3 linked regions of the Pelodiscus sinensis genome follow. The protein of the gene in region 1 purifies or fractionates together with the protein of each later gene. This does not show direct contact. Links are inferred from orthologs where the notes say so. Each region holds a gene or a part of one and is shown in the gene's direction. Other genes may lie near its edges.

Evidence for each region. Proteins that work in one complex are often made in the same cells at the same time.
Region 2: the proteins of AMFR (region 1) and UBAC2 purify together in Homo sapiens (affinity purification with western blotting; 4 studies listed by BioGRID and IntAct, with this or other methods). This does not show direct contact. The link is inferred for Pelodiscus sinensis from reciprocal best matches to the Homo sapiens genes AMFR and UBAC2.
Region 3: the proteins of AMFR (region 1) and ERLIN1 purify together in Homo sapiens (affinity purification with mass spectrometry; 3 studies listed by BioGRID and IntAct, with this or other methods). This does not show direct contact. The link is inferred for Pelodiscus sinensis from reciprocal best matches to the Homo sapiens genes AMFR and ERLIN1.

Annotation. Positions count from the first base shown.
Region 1 is NC_134722.1:44,145,079-44,148,823, forward strand, and holds the start of AMFR (E3 ubiquitin-protein ligase AMFR), read left to right. Parts: upstream 1-1,031; 5' UTR 1,032-1,172; coding exon 1,173-1,403; intron 1,404-3,745. UniProt on the Homo sapiens protein: E3 ubiquitin-protein ligase that mediates the polyubiquitination of lysine and cysteine residues on target proteins, such as CD3D, CYP3A4, CFTR, INSIG1, SOAT2/ACAT2 and APOB for proteasomal degradation.
Region 2 is NC_134711.1:249,005,633-249,009,377, reverse strand, and holds the start of UBAC2 (ubiquitin-associated domain-containing protein 2), read left to right. Parts: upstream 1-1,235; 5' UTR 1,236-1,338; coding exon 1,339-1,369; intron 1,370-3,745. UniProt on the Homo sapiens protein: Restricts trafficking of FAF2 from the endoplasmic reticulum to lipid droplets.
Region 3 is NC_134718.1:7,018,590-7,022,334, reverse strand, and holds the start of ERLIN1 (erlin-1), read left to right. Parts: upstream 1-1,510; 5' UTR 1,511-1,643; intron 1,644-1,717; exon of another isoform or gene 1,718-1,814; intron 1,815-3,745. UniProt on the Homo sapiens protein: Component of the ERLIN1/ERLIN2 complex which mediates the endoplasmic reticulum-associated degradation (ERAD) of inositol 1,4,5-trisphosphate receptors (IP3Rs).

The DNA of each region.
Region 1 (3,745 bases):
TCTAAGGTTGTTAAAGTGGGGTAGTGTTTGGTGCGATGGCTAGCCATGGGCACTGGGGAAGATGTCATGAGATGCCTGTAGAGCCAGTGCAGGGTGGATGGGGTGTGGTTCCAGGTGTTCATGCTGCAGCAAAAGGGATTTAAATTTGGGCTTGCGTGAGGTGGGTGGCTGGTCACCTGTCTGCAGGCAGCAGAGTGAAAACCGCTGACGGGAACAGCTGATTGGGAATTGTGGGACACTTACTGGAGGCTAGAATAAGGAAAAACGAACCCACGACCTTGAGATGTCTACATTGAATATTTATTGAAAACACAGCAAGGAGAAAAGAAAAGTCCTTTGTGGAACTGGAAGTTTTTTGTTGAAGAAAACAGCTGGCTTTTTGTGTCGAAACTTGTGTTGTAGCATACATACCCACACGCTTTTGTTGACAAACGACATTTTAACACCACAAAATTTGCCAACGTAGGCAAGCCCTACCGCTCACATCCTCATTGTTTCCTTCAAGTTCCCTGGGGAAAAACACAGGGATGGCCCCCGTCAAGGCTGTTCAATCATTACTTACATCTCAGCCCTCTAATCCCAGTGGTTTGTATTAATCAAAGTTGGCAATTGGCATAAAACACCGCATCAGGGGGGCTTGTTTCCTGGCTTCACTGCCCCGCGAGTTGCGTGTAGGGCAGGCTTTCGCTTGCAGCTTGTTTTGTGGGGGACAAGGGGGCCGCGCGGGTTCGCTGGGGGCCCGCAGTCCCGGACTAAGGGGTTGGGAATCTAGTCCCATGTGCGGGGTCTTCTGCGGAGCGGCTTGTTTACTGTGACAAAGCCGGTGGGAAAGCTGCCCCCCCCCGGGATTTACTTCGGTCTGCGGCTCCCACACTCCCGCGTAGCGCACAAGGCGCGTGTGGAGAGGGGCAGAGGCGATTTACTCCACTGGCCCGGCCCCTCGGCCGCGCAGCTCCGCAGGCCCCGCCGGCCCGTCCCCTCAGCCGCCCGGCCCGAGCCCCGCGCGCGACGCTGAGCGAGCGGCGGCCAGGCCCGGGGGAGGCGCTCGGCCGGGCCGGCAGGGCGGAAGGAGGGGCCCGCCGCGGCAGTGCGCTCGGCAGCCGGCGGCCGCGGGGAGCGTTAGGCCGCGGAGAGGAGGCGCGGGGCGGACTGGGCCGGGCCCCGAGGCCGCGATGCCGCTGCTGTTCCTGGAGCGCTTCCCCTGGCCCAGCCTCCGCACCTACACGGGGCTGAGCGCGCTGGCGCTGCTGGGCAGCGTCCTCACCGCCTACCGCGCCCTGAGCCAGGGCCCCGCCGGGCAGCCGGAGCCGCCGCCCGCCGCGGAGAGCGCGCCTGGAGCCGGGCCCGGGCCTGGGCCTCTAGACATCGCCTACTACCTGCTGTCGGACAGCCTCTGCGTCTGGGTGAGCGGCGGGCCGGGGGGCAGCAACAGGGGGGTGGGGGGCCCTTCGATGTGCAAGGGGGGAGGAGTATAGGGGGAGAGGGGCCCTGGGGTGGGCAGTAGGGGGGGGAGGAGTATAGGGGGAGAGGGGCCCTGGGGTGGGCAGTAGGGGGGAGAGGAGTAGGGAGGAGAGGGGCCCTGGGGTGGGCAGTGGGGGTGAGGGGGTCCTTGGATGTGCAAGGGGGGAGGAGTATAGGGGGAGAGGGGCCCTGGGGTGGGCAGTAGGGGGGGGGAGGAGTATAGAGGGAGAGGGGCCCTGGGGTGGGCAGTAGGGGGGAGAGGAGTAGGGAGGAGAGGGGCCCTGGGGTGGGCAGTGGGGGTGAGGGCGCCCTTGGATGTGCAAGGGGGGAGGAGTATAGGGGGAGAGGGGCCCTGGGGTGGGGAGTGGGGGGATAGGAGTGGGGCCCTGGGGTGGGTAGTGAGGCTGGGACAGGACTGGAGGTAAAGGGACCACGGGTCGGGTGAGGGGGCTGTAGGGCAGGTAGCTGGGCTAGTGGTCCTGGAGGGGCTGGGAGTATGTAGCTGAGCTGGGTGAGAGGCTAAGTGTTCAATGAGTGATATTGGGGGGAGAGGGTGACCTATGGATCCAGCTGGTGTGATTTCCCTGATGCCCAGGGACCAGCCAGGCCTACTTCCTTGGGAAGGACCCCTGTTATCCAATGAAGCAAAGCAGCTGATTTGGCTGCCATCTTCCTCTGGGGATAACAGGGTTGCCTGAGAAAATTGTTTTTTTCTCCCACAAACTAACAGACCCTTGTGTAAATAGTACAGACATGGTTCAAGCTCCTCCTGCTGTAGTTCACATAGTGGAGCTGGCCACTGGATTGAATCCGAACTAGGTAGGCAGTAGGGATGTTAAAATGTGTGTAATTAATTGACTCTGGAACTGCTGAAAATTTACATGTTGAGTGGCAGGCAGTTCCCTGGTAGATGAATGTAGCCTATAGCCATCTGAGTAATCAGTAAGCATGAGTTTATCAGTTGCCTGATTAAACAGCTACACTTACATCCCTGATATACAGTGACTGATAGCTGCTAATGTGTGATGAGGCTGGTCATTAGTTTGTCTGAAATGAATTGTGTGGTCTGAGTCTGACTTCCAAGATTTAATTTTAGAGGTTAGACAGAAGTCCGCTATATCTGTTTCTGGCCAGTCTAAGATTTACACCAGAACTTAAACTGTCTGTGCCAGAAGTGATGGGTAAGAAAGTGTAAATTGCATCTTAAGTAAGTGCAAGTTTGCAGTGGGAGATTTTAGTTTAAAGCCAGTGAGGATCCTTTTTTGGGTTGGAGGCCATTGATCCACAGAAAAAAAATCAGTTGGTGGTCACACACCAATAAGAAGGAAAAAAACCCACTTGTTGATGTGGCCACCAACTGAGAAGCAGGAAGAGAAAGCAATAACCATCTCTTTCATTCTTGGAACTGAGGGTGCAGGAGCGGAATGGGAGTGAGGGGTCTTGGCAAGAGATAGGGTGAGGTTCCGAGATCTGAGTGGGAAGAAGAGTGCGAGAGAGGGGTTGGGGGTCCTTACCCGGTGCAGCTCCCATGTGGGCACAGGTGGAGCTGCACCCCGTGCTGCTCCCATTGACTGGGAATCATGGCCAATGAGGACAACGTGTGGAGGATGCAGGCAAGTACTTCCCTGCACTGTCATGCCTCATGCTGGAGAGGAGAAAGAACTAGGGTTGTTAAGTAGCAATTAATTTGCTAGTCATGTAGTCAATGGAATTTCCATCGACTAGTTGATAAGCACTTCTGCGTTCTGCCTTTGAAATGCAGCAGGGGCTCTTGTGCATTTCAAAGCGGAAGCTAGAGTCTGACCCTGTGCGAAGCTGCTGACTCCCAGGTGGGCAGCTGCCCACTCCTTGTTGCTTTTAAGCCTGTGCAGGTTGGGAGCCGGCAGCCCAGTGTGGGCTTGGAAGAAGCCAGGCTGCAGTAGCCCTGCCCATGGCGTGGTGGTCACTCCAGTCCAGCCACTCAATGCCATTTAATCAGTTAACTGGTTAAACTTAACTTTTAAGTGGTTGTCATTTAATGGGATTTTACATATCTAGCATCTACACTACAAAAATTGCTGCCCCAGTTAGAGTTCTGTGTTGCTAGCGTCAGCAGAGTGGACAAACAGTATGTACAGTCTACAGGAATGTAATTCACTTTGTCTTTAGAACTGGTCCCTACAGGTCAGGATTGAGTCACATTGTGAGATGCAGTCTGGAAACCATTTGCTACTGTTCATAGAGCACCTGTTCTCTTGCGGCAGTTTTCTCTGTATGGTGATCAGTTTGGCAGATTTCAGTTTAT
Region 2 (3,745 bases), on another chromosome or scaffold:
GTGCCATGGCACCCGCCAGGCCATTTATGTGTGCCTGCCGAGTGATTGGGGCCAGCCCTACCCCCGGGCACGTGGCGCTTGGGAGGCCCTGCCCCCAGGCACATGGGTGGCTCTGTCCTCGGGCACCCAGCAGCCCCAAAAGGCTGGGGACCACTGATATAGGCAAACTAGGCAGTCGCCTCAGGCACCAAGTTAAATGGGGTGCCAAATGGTGGCGCAATATCATTGAAGGGTTTGGAGGTGGGGGTGCTGATTGCATGGTTTGCCTAAGGTGCCAGGTGCTGGCAGCTAGTCTAGGGCTGCCCGTTTCCATCCAAACTCTTGAAGTGATTGTTTGGTGAAAGAAAAGTTTCTTTTGACTTGCTCACTTTGTAGCTTCTAGAACTGAAAGGTGGGAAGAGAGCCCAGAACTTAACTTACAGCTCAAGCCTAGAAATCTGCGCTGTAATTAACTGCACGTTTTTATTTGCAGCCCTGGCAAATAAAACTTACATTTGAGCTTTCGATAATTATAGTACATAGAATGACCAATAGAAAAGTTTCCTAGAAGCCATCCAGTTACAAAAACCTCTTTATGTTAAAGAATTACGTAGGTCTATTCTGACATTAGTATTTCCACAACCACTTGGCAACTTCATTCACAGCAAGGACAACTGCATTTTGTAGTGTGTTTAGCAAACAACTTCATCAGAGTGTTTGTGTCCCTTAGGGAAGTAACAGATTTGGCTCAGTACATCAGCTTCTACCAACAACAAAAAAAGATTTCTACTTAGGTCTACATTATCATGTTTGTCCTCATTTTTCAAAGCCAATTGGGAAACATTTTTTTTCCTGGCTTAAAATACTATGAAAAGGGTGTCAAGGCTGATAGGTCCAAGATTTGACTTGTATGTTGATTATAACGGGGAGCCTGGACACAGACCAGAACTCTGCGAGGGGGGAGCTGTGTGAGTCTTTTACCTTTCAAAACGAGGAGCGGTGCGGCGCTTTAGTCACTTTATGAAGCCCGGGTACAATGCTGTGGTCTAACACACTCACTGCAGCCCAGCAGGGCTGTGCGCGCCCGGGGGCGGGGGAGGCAGCGAGGAACCTCCCCCCAGAAGCCGGGCGCCGTGTCCGCCCGGGCAGGGGCGTTTCGGCAGCGAAGGGCGCTGCCTCGGGCGGCCTGCAGGGCGGCGGCGCCGCCGGTAGGGGGCGCCGGGGCCTCGCCGAAGTCCTGTTTGGCCCATCCCGGCCGCCTTACAGCTCGTCCCTGGGCCCCGCCGAGGCTCCTGGGGCTGCTCCGGGGGCTTCTCGGGAGACTCCCGGGCGGCGACACCCCCCGCACCCTCGGGGACCATGTTCCCCGGCACCGGCTCCAGCGGGCTGTGTAAGTATCCGGAGCGCCCGGCCAGAGGGGCGGGGCCTGGCCAGTGTCCCCCCCCCGCCGGGGCCCCGAGACACCCTCGCGCCGCAGGTCTTGTGCGCGCGCTGCCCTGCGCTCTGGAGCCGCGCTTCGCTGCCCCCCCCCCCGCAAACCGCTTCCCCCGCCCTCAGGTGCTGCACGTTGTCCGCCCCCCCCCCCCCCGAAGCGCTTTGTGTGTTGCCGGCTCCACCGCGGCAGCCCCGGTCACCAGCTCCCGCCTCGTGGTGTTGTCGCCCTGAAACGCTGGGTGAGCCCCGGCGCAGCCTGGGTCTGTCCAAGTCCGGTGTAACGTCGAAAGCCTTCAGCGGTGTAAAGGGGTCTCTGAGCTTTAAGAAAAATCCTGCTGCTCTTTGCGAAGAAAGTCACTTGCTGTTCTTCAAAGTTAAAACATTAGAGGGGGCAGGTCTCTCAAGAGGAGGAATAAGAGGGTTTCTCTCCCCCCCCCCCCCGATATTTGGCCCTGTGTAGACGGGCCAAATATCGGAAAAGCTTCTTCTGGGGGGAAAAAAAACCGGAAGAAGATATGCAAATTCGAGCCGAAAATGAACATCATCTTTCGGAAGCCACAGGCTAGACGTGCCCTCAGGTTTACTCTCCCTTTGACAGCATTTTATACAGTTGGTTCCATAGTTTCATCCTGTGAAATACCAGCTCCTTCCCGTCTTGTAACTGAGTGTACATGGGGTCAGGAGTTCACCAATAAAGAGTCTGTTGGCCTACCTAGGCAAAATCCCTTGTTCTATGTGTGGGTCTTTCATGTAATAAAGAAGAGAAACATATTTTTGAAAATAAGAAAATGTTATTTAAAATGGTGTAATTGGCAGAGTAGTCTAAGGGCAAATGTAATCTTTGTAAGTGACAACTTTTAAAAAGTAAGTAGATGTCAGTGATAAAGATACAAAGTGGAGAAGGTCATATATTTTATTGGACCATTTTCTGTTGGAAAGAGAGAGAGAGAAACTTTAAAACTTACATGGAGCTTTTCTTGCAAGCTTGTCTCTTTCACCACCACAAGCTGGTTCAAGAAAATATGCTACCTTAGCCTCCTTGTCTTTTAATAGTCTGGCACCAAAACAGCTCCAATACCACATCAAGTTGATACATTATTTTAAACAAATTTCCATAGACCTAAAAAACAATTTCAGAGCTGATATTCATTTTAAAAAAACCCCAAAACCAACCCCCCCGCCCCGCGAACTACCCTTAACTGTATTTAAAAATGTCAGTGAAGAGTTCAGTTAGTTGTCACAGTGTGAATTATGATATTATGCTGGTTGTAAACCAGGACAAATTATGGTCAGTACTGTGTCAGGTAACTGGTTTCTTTACAATCCTGTTAAACCTTCCTCAAATTTGGTAGTGAAGATAGGCCCTTTGTGAGAGTATTCCACTTGATTTGAAGTATGACACATATGCTCAGTAAATGGGCACTACGGGCTATGTGGCAGTTTCCCCCCCCCTGCTGATTCTATTAGCAAACAAATCTTTGCCAGAAACTGTGGGAGCCTTGTCTACTTTAGGGTTATTGCTAGAGCCCTACCAAATCGTGGAAAATGCATGATGGACTGTGAAATCTGGTGTCCTTCCTTAAAATCTGGCCTTTTGTGTGCTTTTACTCTCTATTGTTGAATATGAAGTTGCGAGTCACAGATAGAAGGGAGACAAAAAAAGCTTTCAGCTTTCCTCTGTGTGCGCGCGCACACACGCACACACACACACACATATGCATACAAAGAAGGTGTGCATATGCACACAAACGTTTTATGTATTAGGGATGTGAACGAGTAGTTGAGTAGATGATTAACCAATGAACTTAGGCTTATTGGTTAATCTTCTCGACTACTTGCATTTCCCTCCCCACCCCTGCTGTTTCTGTATCAGAGGCAGCAAGGGAGGGGGAAGTAGGAGCTGGTGCTGGGGGAGTCATCATAAAATCTGGTTCCCCAGCACCGGCTTTGCGATGACGCCTGCCCCTCTCCCGCACCACTTCCTCTAATAGAGGTAGCTGCATGGGGGGAAGCCTGGGGAAGGGTGGCAGGGAGGCTGCCACAAAGCAGCCTTTGCCTGCAGTGGATAGAGGCTGCTTCGTGGCAACAGCCTCTGTCCCCGGTGGGCCCAGGCTCACTGCAGACAGAAGCTTGCACAGGGGGTACAAGGTATGGGGCCGAGGCAGCCTCCCCCAGCCCCTTCCCCCCCAACATCCTCTCTCTGCAGGAAGCTTGTACCTCCTAAGGACAATGGTTGATGTCATCCTATGCTGCTGCCTCTGCATCAGAGGCCGCAATGCGGGGTGGCAGACAGCCAGTCTGCGAGGGGAGCTGGTTTTTAAATTGGTTCCCC
Region 3 (3,745 bases), on another chromosome or scaffold:
CATAACCGATTTTTCCATCATTGGCTGTTTTTCGTAAGATCCATGCTCCAGGAATTACTCTGGAAGAGCACCTGGCCTGCAATAGGCAGTCTAAGGAGATGGCCATAAAGGTCCCTTCTGACCATGGAATACGAATTCAGGTTATCCCCTTGGCTGTTTGCTTTTATTGCTGAAAGATCTAAGGATCAGGCAGTTTCAACCCAGAATATTTCTGGGTGGATGTCAGGTTGTATGAAGTTAGGTTAGGAGATGGTCAATTTACAGTTACCCAGAAACAATAGGGACAGAGCCTTGTTTATAGGTTATTCCAACAGCTGATAATTGTAGGGATGCTATTTGTTTGTGAATATACATTCCTCTAATTATTGTGGAGGTGTCATGTGCTCACTTGGTTGGGACTGTATTAAAATACCTATTTAACTAGACTTGCAGTAGTGCCCTCTGCTGTGTAATAGACTCCCTGTGAGACCTTGGTTGGGGCTCCAGTACTGGTAAATCCAGACTTTGACAAGCCCTTTATGGTGTTTACCCATGCCTCTGGTGGCTGGGTGTGATGCTAATGCAGGTGGACAAAAAAAGGAAGAGATGCCCTATTGTGTACTTGAGCAAGAGGTTGCTGCCTTGCAAACAGAACTGTGTACTCATAGTGAAGGAATGCCTGTCTAGGGTGTGGGCTCTTAGAAAACTGCAGCCATATCTATTTGGGTGGCATTTCAAGGTGTACACGGACCACTCTCCCCTGACCAAATGAAAGGGCGAATACCAAGCTGCTGCTATGGAGTCTGCTCCTGCAGAATCATGACACAGAGGTGGTCCATGTTAAGGGGAGTGCTAATGTCATAGCCAATGCTTTATCACAGAGCAGGGGCCCCGAACTTCCCCAGGCCACTGGCTCAGTGCCCCTGCTCCGTTTGGTCTCGAAGGGAGAAGAGATGCGACAAAGTGGGGGACTGTGTTTGCTATGTTATTGTTATCTCTACTACTATGTTATGTTATCTCTATTACTGGGTAGTAACCCAGTGCATGTGCCTTAGTTTCCCTAGGCACTTCACCAGGAGTGAGATGCTGATGGGAATTTCAGTGTCGGTCTCCTGCAGGTACACAATGGATGATGCTTTCTGTACCCTGAGCCTCGGTGGGGGTGTCCTGTAAGCAGGACTAAGGCTGCAGAAGGGCTGGAGCAGGCTTTGGGGTGTTTTAAGTGGGGGGGCAGAGACGGGGCTCTGTTCTGCCTGCTGGCTGGCGGTCAGTGCTGGCTGCAGATGGGGGTTTGGGGCCCCCCCCACACACTGACACCACCCAGTGCCCCCCCCATTCAGCCTGGTTCCCCCTTGTGACACTGCACAATGCTACTCTGGCCCTGAACCCTGCCCAGCGCCGAGCCCCGCCCCCATACGTCACACACACCCCTCTGCTGAGCCCCGCCCCGCTACACCGCCCGTCCCCGGGTCGGATTCGGCCAGGGAGCGGTGCTGCACGACGCGGTCCGGGACGAGAGGTATTTTGCCCTCGCTGCTTTACCGTCCCAGGGGGCGCTGTGATTCTGTTCGGTGATTGGCTGGGGGAGGCGGAAGTAGCCGGGCGTGGCTGCGCATGCGTGGGAGTGATGTATTCGGTGGCTCGTGAGGGGCGGCGCTGAGCAGGTACTGGGGGCGCAGCGGAGACCTCCCCTTCCCCCTCCCCCTCCCCCTCCTCCTCCCGTCACGCCGGCTGGGGGGGGGCCCTCGCTGCGGCCCGGGGCGCTGCCCTCAGACTCCCCCTCCCCCCCCCCGAGCCGGGGAATGCGGCGGGGCGCGGGCCTGGTGCTCCCACAGGTCTCGTGGCGAGACTCCCGGCTGCGCGCGCGCGTGGGGAGTGTGGGGGGAGGGGCCCGCTTGTTCCGCGCGTGGGGAGTGTGTGTGGGGGGGAGGGGCCCGCTTGTTCCGCGCGTGGGGAAGTGTCTGTGTGTGGGGGTGACGGGAGCCGCAGTCCGTGCTCCTGGCTGCCAAGTCAGCGCTTAGGAAGCTGCAGCGGTGTCTCCTTGGGACACTTGATTTTGGTGGGGAGTCTGGCGGCGGGAGAGTGCCTGCCTGTTACTAGTAGGAGCCTTAATGTCTGCAAGGTGAACGGGAAATGGTCTGTTGGCGCTTGCTGAGAGGCGGTTAGTTATTACACCAGTTTCTTGATATCCTCCTAGATTAGTCGTGGGCTTGGTGGACACAGACCCCTTCTGCCCTGTCCCTTAGTCACGGTGGGTTTGGACTCTCTTACCCAGTGAATAATTCCGATGCTGTTCACACTTCTGAGCGTCCGTCTGCAGGGAGACTTACCCAGAAACTTGCTAACTTGATTCTGCTGCCCTTGGCAATTTCTGAGCAGCAGCTGCAGACGCCTTAATGCTTCTTTGTCTGCAGAAACAGGAAGACAAGACTCTGGATTATACCTGGCTTGTCTTTGCAATCTTGGCCACTAGAAATGTCACTTTTTCAAACCAAGGGAAAGCACAGACTCTGCAGGAATAAACGACTAATTTCTCCCTTGCCTGCCCTACACACTCACAAGTGGGAAGCTTTGGTTCTCAGCCATTTCTTATAGGGGCCCTTGGATCTCATATCTCTTTCCTGATTTGTACTAAGCTAGTCATGACTGTAGCCTTTAGTTGGGAAAGAGTGACTAGCTGGACACAGATTGTTCTAGGAAGTGTGTAGCTTGGTCCAGGTGAAGGATGTTTAATCACCTGGGCTGAATAAGGGACATGGAGAAATCTGCTCTGCACTTGGGCAACTGTGGGCACCAAAGGGAAAGTTTATTTTCTTATCCTGCTAGAATCTACGTGCTGGAAAACTTAGTTTTGGTTAGGGACTCTTACTACATTTAAAAGGCAGAACTGCAATTCTGCTGCACCTCTGCCTCCCCTCCCCGCCTCTCACACCAGCTGCTGCCTCTTCCCCCTCCCCTGATAGAGGCAGCAAGGGGGGTGAAAATGCGAGTAATCGACAACTCTCTTACATCTCTAGTTTGGGTTCCGTGAAATGACTATTTAGAAGTACATTGCCTTGCTGGCCTCATTCAGATTGCACGTTTAGACTCTTGCCTATTCCTTCCTGCCAAGAGCTTGCGCTGTATTTCCTGATCAAAGTCCAGTTTTTTTTCCAAAGTAAACAAGGCCAAATCTTAGCCAGTTTGTGCCTGTCTGAGAGAAGGGTAGATTGTGCCTACTATATTTTTTACAATGGCAAAAAAAGAACAGTCCCATAACACAAAAGCTCAAGGGAGTTTTCTCTAATACAGGCAGTCCCCGACTTACGTCGGATCCGCACTTACGAACGGGGCTTTCTCGCCCTGGAGGTCGAGGTGGCGGATTGCTACCTGCGAGCTCCGGGGCGAGAAAGCCCTGTTCATAAGCTGCTCCGGTGCCCCTGGTCTGCTGGAGACCGTCTCCAGCAGACCAGGGGCACCGGGCGGGTTCCCCGCGCTTCTGAGGCTTTGTCAGCCAACGGTCTGTCCCTTAAGACCGGCTGAAGTTCTTTTAAATTGTGCCTGGTTCTGTTACAGCAACTTAAGGAGTCAGGTTAAAACTTAAACAGTTACAGGTTTATTAAAGAAACTTATAAATCATATGGTTGCAATGGCTATTGTTCTATTTCTTAACTACTAGCAAAATATAGATCTTAAAAATGGTTACAAAGAAGATAAAGATAGAAAAATAGAAATAATGGTACCAAGTAACAGCTTACTCTTTCTATGTGTACACTTAAGACAGAGG